Linked DNA regions of Mus musculus. The protein of the gene in region 2 binds, or shares a complex with, the protein of the main gene of each other region. Links are inferred from orthologs where the notes say so. Each region holds a gene or a part of one and is shown on either strand. Other genes may lie near its edges.

Evidence for each region.
Region 1: Satb1 (region 2) and Hoxb2 share a complex: the UniProt entries of both Homo sapiens proteins name them as parts of the nuclear protein complex. The link is inferred for Mus musculus from reciprocal best matches to the Homo sapiens genes SATB1 and HOXB2.

The regions. Positions count from the first base shown.
Region 1 is NC_000077.6:96,350,171-96,354,737, reverse strand, and holds Hoxb2 (homeobox protein Hox-B2), read right to left. Parts: upstream 3,107-4,567; 5' UTR 2,928-3,106; coding exon 2,543-2,927; intron 2,316-2,542; exon of another isoform or gene 2,139-2,315; coding exon of another isoform or gene 2,120-2,138; intron 1,789-2,119; coding exon 1,109-1,788; 3' UTR 722-1,108; downstream 1-721. UniProt on the Homo sapiens protein: Sequence-specific transcription factor which is part of a developmental regulatory system that provides cells with specific positional identities on the anterior-posterior axis.
Region 2 is NC_000083.6:51,784,115-51,787,922, reverse strand, and holds part of Satb1 (DNA-binding protein SATB1), read left to right. Parts: intron 1-2,282; coding exon 2,283-2,394; intron 2,395-3,808. UniProt on the Homo sapiens protein: Crucial silencing factor contributing to the initiation of X inactivation mediated by Xist RNA that occurs during embryogenesis and in lymphoma.

The DNA.
Region 1 (4,567 bases), on a different chromosome or scaffold from region 2:
CGGGAGTGGGACCCGAGCATCCCGCAGCCGCTGTCATGGCGGCCGCAGTTGCTTCTCCTGCGCTCCAAGTCGCCCGGCCCAGCGCCATTTTGAGCATCGTTCCTATTTCCCGCGCTCTCTGCCGCTCGCCGTGCTACTTCTGTGAGCCAAAAGCCTCTTGCCACGCCCGGGCCTCCCTTCTTCCCTACAAAATTCCTAAGCCCCATTCTAGTCCTCAAGGACCTGGAGCCCCAAGGCAGCATCGGGCGCACAGCGCAGGCCTCGGCCTAAGCTTGCAGACTCAAAGCCCGCAGGCTAGCAAACCCAAGGATTTCTCCTTCAACTCTTTTAACCCTCTGCGCAGCCTCCAAGGCTCAAAGCTGGCCTCTGAGACATTTTCTTGTACCCGCTTCTGCACCCCCCCCCCCAGAACGCTGTTTTTCCACCCACCCCACATTTATTTCCAAGCAGGGACCCAGGGAACATCTTAGCAGGACTGGAAACGGTCTGTTTGCAGATGAACCAAGCTTCCATAAACTCTTCCTGGTGTCTTGGACAAAGAAATAGTCACCAAGCAGGGCCCCTTTTGTACCACCCGGACTTTGTCAGCCTGGGAGATGGGACCATGCCTTCCCTTGGGTCGCTTGAGCCAGAGCTAAACCAACTTCAAGCGGAGAGTGGGAAAGCAAAGACTGGCCGTAGGGACTTGGCAAAAAGAGCTAGATCCCAACACAAACACTCGTTTTCATATTATAAAGACATTTATTTACGCTATGAAAATAATGTACAATAAATACTTTCCCCCTTTCCTATTATTAAACAATTTTAATAAATAATCTACAATCTAAAACTTAAAAAAGAGGAAAATAGGTCCCTCTAGTTCTTTGTAAGAAAACCCTCTCCCACTAGAGTTTAATTATTCCTGAGATTTCGTTGGAAGGAGTTTTACCAAGTGGAATTTTTTGTGTGTGGTTTTAAAAAGCGAAAAGGAGTGAATGAAACGCTAATTCGTTACTATCTGGATTTTAACAAAACGGCATAAATGTATCCACGAGTGGAGAAGGCCCGATTCCCCCCGCCCCCAACAGCCAAGGAGGACCAGACGGAAAGGACCAAAGATGGAAAACAGTTAGGGAAACTGCAAGTCGATGGCACAGAGCGTGCTGGTGAAGAAGTCCAGCTCTTCCTCGGAAAAGGGCACGGGGCTATCGAGAGAACCCTGCAGGCTGGGTGAAAGGCCTCCGGACATCTGGAGACAGGAGTCTGCAGCGAAGAAATTGAGGTCCGGTAGAAAAGGCGAATCCTGCCGCTCGGGGCAGGCGTCTTCGGGTAGGGGCTCGCTCTGCCGGCCTCCGGCTCTGAGCATTGTGCAGCCGGGGCTCGATGCGCCCACACTCTCCAGGGTGGTGGCAGGCAGCGCTGACGGCGGTGCGCCCCGGGGTCCCTGCGCGGCCTCGGCGGGGTGGAAGCAGGCTTCCCGCAGCCGGTGAGTCGCGACGTCGCCCGGGCTGACCGTGGGTTCCTCGGCTGGCTCTCCCGCGTCGTCCTGGGCGCTCGGCCCGCCTGGTTCTCCCTCGGGCGGCTCTCGATGCTGCGTCTGCCGCTTGTGTTTCATGCGTCGGTTCTGGAACCAGACTTTGACCTGCCTTTCGGTGAGGTCCAGCAAGGCAGCGATCTCGACGCGACGCGGCCGGCACAGGTACTTATTGAAGTGGAACTCCTTCTCCAGCTCCAGCAGTTGCGTGTTGGTGTAGGCCGTGCGCAGTCTGCGGGAGCCGCTGCCGCCGCATTCTGGCAATCCGGGGCCATCTGCGAGGGAAGCACCCCTATGTTATCAGAGAGGTCTCAACGCAGCCTCCGTTTAGCTGAGATCGGGAGCACCCCTTTGGCTTAAAAGACTCTCAGCAGTCCTACTCGGGCTCCCACCCCACCCCCACAGCGCTTCTTTCTGTGTCTTTGGGGTTTTTTTTAGTGCTCTTCCACGTAGGCAGACCCGGCCCGGGTCAAGTCGGTGCCTTCAGAGCCGCCCACGGGCCACGTAGGGGGCGGGGAGCAATTTCTCTTAGCTCCCAGGACCTCAGAGTCTCCCTCCCCCAAGTCCTCCCAATGGACCCCTCAATTCAGAACTTTCCAACTCAACCTGGGGAGAGAGGGATCATAGATTGTTCTTCACCCCTTTCCTTCCTAGCTTTTGAATTCCCTCTTCTTCCCTAGCTTTAGGAGAGCTAGAGGCATCGCATCTTTTCCAGGCTCCAGATTCAATCCCAGACACGCTTCATTCCTCTACACAGAAACCGGGGAAACCCTTCAATCGAATCATTTTTTTCTAAGCACATTTAAAAAAAAAAAAAAAAAAAAAGCATCCTCCCCACCCTCAATCAGCTTCCAAAATTTTCTGGGGGTGGGGAAGCTAACAGTGGCTAGGCCTGAACCCCAGCGGGATACTCTGCTTCCCTCGCCCCAGATCCGTCGACCTAGGGAACCCCACCAGGAGCCCCATCACCTCACATTCTCCCCTTCTCTTCCAACTGCCCCTCACCCCGCCCCTAATACGTTTACCCACCTGATGGTGATCCGACCTCGGAGGCCCGGACCGAGGAGGCGGCTGGAGAAGGGGATGCGGCGGATTGGCTGGGTTTCTTGGTGGATTTCTTCTCTTTCATCCAGGGGAACTCGGGGGCTGGGGGGGCAACGGGGAGTGGCGGCGGTGACCGCAGAGCAGGCCCATCTCCGGCTTGCTTTTGGCTCCCTGGTCTCTGAAGGGTGGAGGCGCCGAGCTGGAGGCTGGGGAAGGTTTGCTCCAGAGGAGGAGGAGGAGGAATTAATGTCGACTCCTTGATTGATGAAGTTTGAAATGTCTCCAAGACAGCGGGGAAGGAAGTCAGACACTCGGCGAGCGATGGCTGGCTGTTTATAAACCCAATCTCCCTCTCAAATTCAAAATTCATGGCTTTCAATGGTGGGGGAGGGGGCCTGCTGGGGGGGGCGTCAGGAGGGAGAATCAGAGGGACCCCCCTCTCCCGCCCCCCCCAGGTTTATGCAATGGAGCAATTTCGCGGGGGGGGGGAGATTTCGCTCTCTCTCTTTTTTTTTTAAATTTAGGCCTTTATAATTGTATATTGCTGATAAATACAAGCGTATGGGGACTCTCTCTATTAAACCCAGGACTCCGCCGAAATTGCAGGGAATTCATGGTCACGGGACCGGTCTCCGCCAATCGCTAGTCTAGGCCTAGTGGAAAACACAGGCATTATTTGCTTTAATTGATTCAAAAACTCCAGAGGACCACGACCTGGATACCATGAGGCTTCCTCCTCTACCCCTGTTCCTTCATCAGTACCCTACACTCTCCCTAATGGCTCTCTTTTCCCAGAAAAGCCAAAAGAACCTCTTCCTTCCCTTCAGAGACTGTGTGGTGGTGGCAAACAACCACATTTAAGGGAGAAATGGAGTGAGTTAATATGCTTTCTTTATGTGGCCCTCAGTAGCCTCTTACCCTACCACCACCTCAGCCCCCAAAAGAAAAGAAAAAAAAATCTCATTTAGGGGGAAGTGGGAGTAGAAAGAGGCTTCCATACCTTGGGGGAAATCAGAAAGGAGATGGATAAAGGACAGCACTAAACACCAGCAGCAGCGGCAGCCCACCCACCCTCAGAAAGCAGTAGTTCACACTTAAGAAATGCACAGAGCTGGCACGCAGCAGGGACATAGATTCCAGGAGCACTTTGGGACATGGGCCTACCTCCCTTGCTATGTGCCCTGGATTCTAGTCTCTGCTCAGAATTTACAAGCAGTTTCTTATGTCCACTTGCCTTCCTGTTGGGGTCATCTGTACTCACACTGTGACACCCCAACCCTGGCAATAGGAGGGTCTAAGAAGGTCTAAGGTGACAGATGTATTCACAGGCCCCCAGGTGTATCTGTGTCTCTATCCAGGGCACCAAAGTAGCCATCCACTTAACTTTCAAAGCTAAAGTCAGTGCACAGTCGCCCTCTGGACAAAGGGATTTCCCCCTCTGTATTTGCCTTTGGGCTACTTTTAAAATCCCTGGTAAGAAAACATTTCCTAAAGATGGTGGGGGAGAGGGGGCTGGGGATAATGACCACCACTGAGATTATATTCTGCTTTGGGCCTCCAGAGAGAAAAAAAAATGTAATGTATTCTATGGTGAGGCACCTATGATGGGCTCAATTTTAGAATATTGTGATTTACTAGAGGAAGGAGGCAAAAAACAACAAAAAAAAAAAAAAAAAAAAAAAAAACCAAAAACAAAAAAACCTCAGAGCCACAAGCAAATTGGTGGGAAACTAGGCCTCAAAGCTGAAAATGAAAAGTCGGCTGGGGGAAGATTTTTAAATAAGTGGGTCAGAGGGACCAAGAGGAGATGAGGCGATCAATCTTAGCCCCCTGACAGCTCCCTCCGATTGCATCAAAGAATTTGGCTCTTTGGGAAAGCAGAGGGAACAACCTAAATTGCATATCCCTTAAAAAGGCCTGAGGGAGGGGGGAGCCAAAGAGAAAGGTGATTCTGGGAGATCTAGGAAACAGATGGGAAATGGGGACAGAGGGAAGGCGCTAACTTGGGTG
Region 2 (3,808 bases):
GGTAAAGGGTGATAATAGTTCTTTGTTTTTTTAGAAATTTGGCCTAAGTGGAGGGCCATCAACTGTCCTCCATCTGTGGAACCACCGTTCTCCCTCAGTGACCTCAATAGTTGTGCTAGAGTCTCACATTGATCCATTATTACAGTAGAGTAACTCTGATGGAAGCTGTGGATTGCTAACTGGATCAGGTAGTCCTGGCTCTGGTTTTGGCAACTTGCTAAGTGTCTTTTTGCGCCATGGACCGTGGGAGGCTCTTAGTGAAATTGCAAGCGATTGGATTAATGGCAGGGCTTCGAGAGCACATTAAGAATGTCTTTTTAGAGAAATAAAGTGTAATGACTATAAAGTAGGAAGTGTGGGGGACAAACGCTATCCCAGGGCCTCAGTGGAGAGATCGCTGTGTTTTGCATAAATAATGCAACTCTAGCTTACCCATCACTCCCAGGTCTTGAGAGGATCCCCAAACTTACACATTTCAGGAATGTGTGTGTGTGCTACAGAATTAACACCGATGATGGATGTCAGAGTTAATAATAGCCCAAAGAGCTTTACATTTGAAGTAGCTTAAAGAAGATAATGATATAAAAATATTCTTGTCCCCAAACTGGCTTTTCTGGTTGTTCACTGCCTCCTGACAATGGAGTCTTCTGTAAGCTGTTTCCCTGTAGATCAGCCAGTCTGAAATTTAAGCTCTTAAGTTTCTACTCACAGGACCAGGAGGCTTGGTGCTTCAGTCTTCTAAGACTCAATAGGGAGTTAATTTAGCTACTAGAGACTGTGGGTGAACCAAGAATTAAGTAACAGCAATTACTATAACCAAAATTATCTGGGAAAAATGGTGTTATTTATTGAAAGTGTGGTTGTGTTTTTTTTTTTTTTTTTTTATTTTAAACCTTCTCTTAACATTATTGTCTTCATTTGTACTTATCAAATGGCTAGCTGTTTTCAATGCCTTTTTGTTTGTTTGAGTCTCATAACATAAATGAGGTGCTCTAGACCTCAGAGATCTGTCTGCCTCTCCCTCCCTAGTGCTGGAATTATAGGCGAGCTCCATATGTGTAGCTCTTCATGGCTTGCTTGGGTTTTTTGTTGTTTTTATTTTTGTTTTTGTTTTAATATTTTTTATTATTATGTATTTTCTTCAATTACATTTAGAATGCTATCCCAAAAGTCCCCCATACCCTCCCCCCCACTTCCCTACCTACCCATTCCTATTTTTTGGCCCTGGCATTCCCCTGTACTGGGGCATATAAAGTTTGTGTGTCCGATGGGCCTCTCTTTCCAGTGATGGCCGACTAGGCCATCTTTTGATACATACGCAGCTAGAGTCCAGAGCTCCGGGGTACTGGTTAGTTCATAATGTTGTTGCACCTACAGGGTTGCAGATCCCTTTAGCTCCTTGGATACTTTCTCTAGCTCCTCCATTGGGGGCCCTGTGCTCCATCCAATAGCTGACTGTGAGCATCTACTTATGTTTTTGTTTTTTTTAAGCAAGAGAAAAATAACACATAGACATTTTCTTGTTTTCTTTTTTCTTTCTTTTCTTTTGGGGGAATGGAACTCTTAAAATGTTAATTAGTACAAAATGTGTATAGTTAGATATTTTCTGGTAACTTGAAAGTCTCAATTCAAGCTTTACTAGATAAAGGCCACAATCAACCCTGAAGATCTGATGCAACCTCTTGTAACAGTTGCTTCCTAAGTGTGACCCCTGAGGCCTCCTAACTCACCAGCAGCTGTAATCTATACATTGAGCATGAAAATATAAAAAATTGGTTTTCCTACTTGACTGTGCCTGGCTGCCCTGAGGAGTGTTAGTGAGGTGCAGGTGCTGACGGGGGAGGTCAGAGATAGGGCTCGGAACTGGATATCTCGAAAGCTTCCAGGCAATGTCCATGGCTCCGGGGCCTGGCCTGTGCTTTGAAGAGCAAACATGTGGAGTCCAGCCACCGTGCTGCAATGGTAGAAACTTGTATACATTTCAATCATGACATCACCTTCTTGGACTTGGACTGATTCAGATTGGTGCACATTTGTGAGCACTAGGAGGCGTGGACGGAGATTGTCAGAGGGTGCAAGAGCAGATAGTGTGTGGGGGCTGCTGCTTGTGACTTAAATAAGCATTTGATGGTGGACTTAATGAATTCTAAGAAGCTTAAGCTTTGCTCCCAGTTGACTTAGAAACCTAAAAGGCAGGCAGGCACTGTTTCCACGGCTGAAGTTGCGGGCTCCCCACGTGTGCCATGGTGTGTTATCACACATATTCTCCCCTTTCCACACAGAGCATGATCTCCTCCATTGTGAACAGCACGTACTATGCAAATGTCTCAGCAGCAAAATGTCAAGAATTTGGAAGGTGGTACAAACATTTCAAGAAGACAAAGGATATGATGGGTAAGCAAAAAAAAAAAAAAAAAAAAAAAAAAGAAAGAAAGAAAGAAAGAAAGAAAGAAAAAAAGAAAGAAGAGAGAGAAAAGAAAAAAAAAGCCCATCCTTTTGCAGTGGCAACATACCATTGCATGTCATTTGGGGGTTTATCAAAGTCACATCGAAAGCCAGATCTTTTGATTGCCCAATTAGAGATCAATTTAGAATGTTTCTTTGGGGGTGGGGGAGTGGGTATGAGTATAATGAGATAATTAAATTCAATAAATGTTTGTGTTTAAATCAGCTACACCGACTCGGTTGTCAGACATGCAGGAAATCGAGGCGTGAGGAGAGCTGTCATTTCGTAACATCTCAGTGAAGACCTAACCAGGCCTTGAATAACTAATACCGGCTGTGACTTCTCACAGAGATAATCATGCTTAGGGACTTTTGCTTTTGTTTGCAAAAAAGAGGAAGAGCCCGTTTTCACAGCAGCTTTCAAACAATATTTAACTGCCTTTGACTCGCTAGAGACAGTTTGGTTCCACCATTGAGATGGAGTGGTTTTTATAGCTCCAGCTCCCGTAGGTAGGAGCTTGCTTGCCTTCCTACCTGGAATAGAACCAGCACTTTTCATTTCTGAACTTCCAATTCTAGTCTAGCACCCTCTCTGCACACACAGCATTAGGTCAACATTGTTAGGCAGCATCAAGATGAGCCGAGGTATAAAACGATGGGTCACAGTTGTGTGCTATGGCGGAGCATTTGGAGTCTGGCATGTTCTCTGTTGTGGATCTGTTAGAGCTCACAGGAGCACACACTATGGTTAAGGGTAATATACCTTCCTCTTTCATACACTTCTAGATACTACATCTTAAAATCAAACAGGAATGGGGTGCCTCATATACAAAGTGTTATGCCCTATTGTAAATCTTTATCACTGTTACATTCACTTAATAGTAGCAATAATAACTTTTCCTGAAGACTTAGAGATAAGAATTTTGAGCATGTTTTAGCTTTTAATATTTGAAGAAAAGCCATCCATCTACCAAAACGGATTCTTTGCCTTTTATAGCTTAGGGCCGTAATGAAGACAATACATCAATTTTTGGAATAATTGCTTGAATTACTGTTCCATGCGAATGGCCCACTTGGGCTGATGTCACTGGTAGAAACTAAGGGTTTCTTTCCATTCTTAGTTATATTTTGCATATAACATTGAGTATAGCAGTATGACCAGTTCCTCTGATTATAAAATCTGCATCTTTAATGAGAAGAGAAACGATGATTAAAAGCCAAATAGAGCTTATCTATGGAAAGTGTGGACATCTGAAAAGGTTTACCTATTTATATTACACTCTGGTCTCAGCCTCCCTCTAGTCTATTCTGTGTAGCAGCAAAAGCGTTTGACACACTTAGAGCTGACTCTCAGCCAATCCAC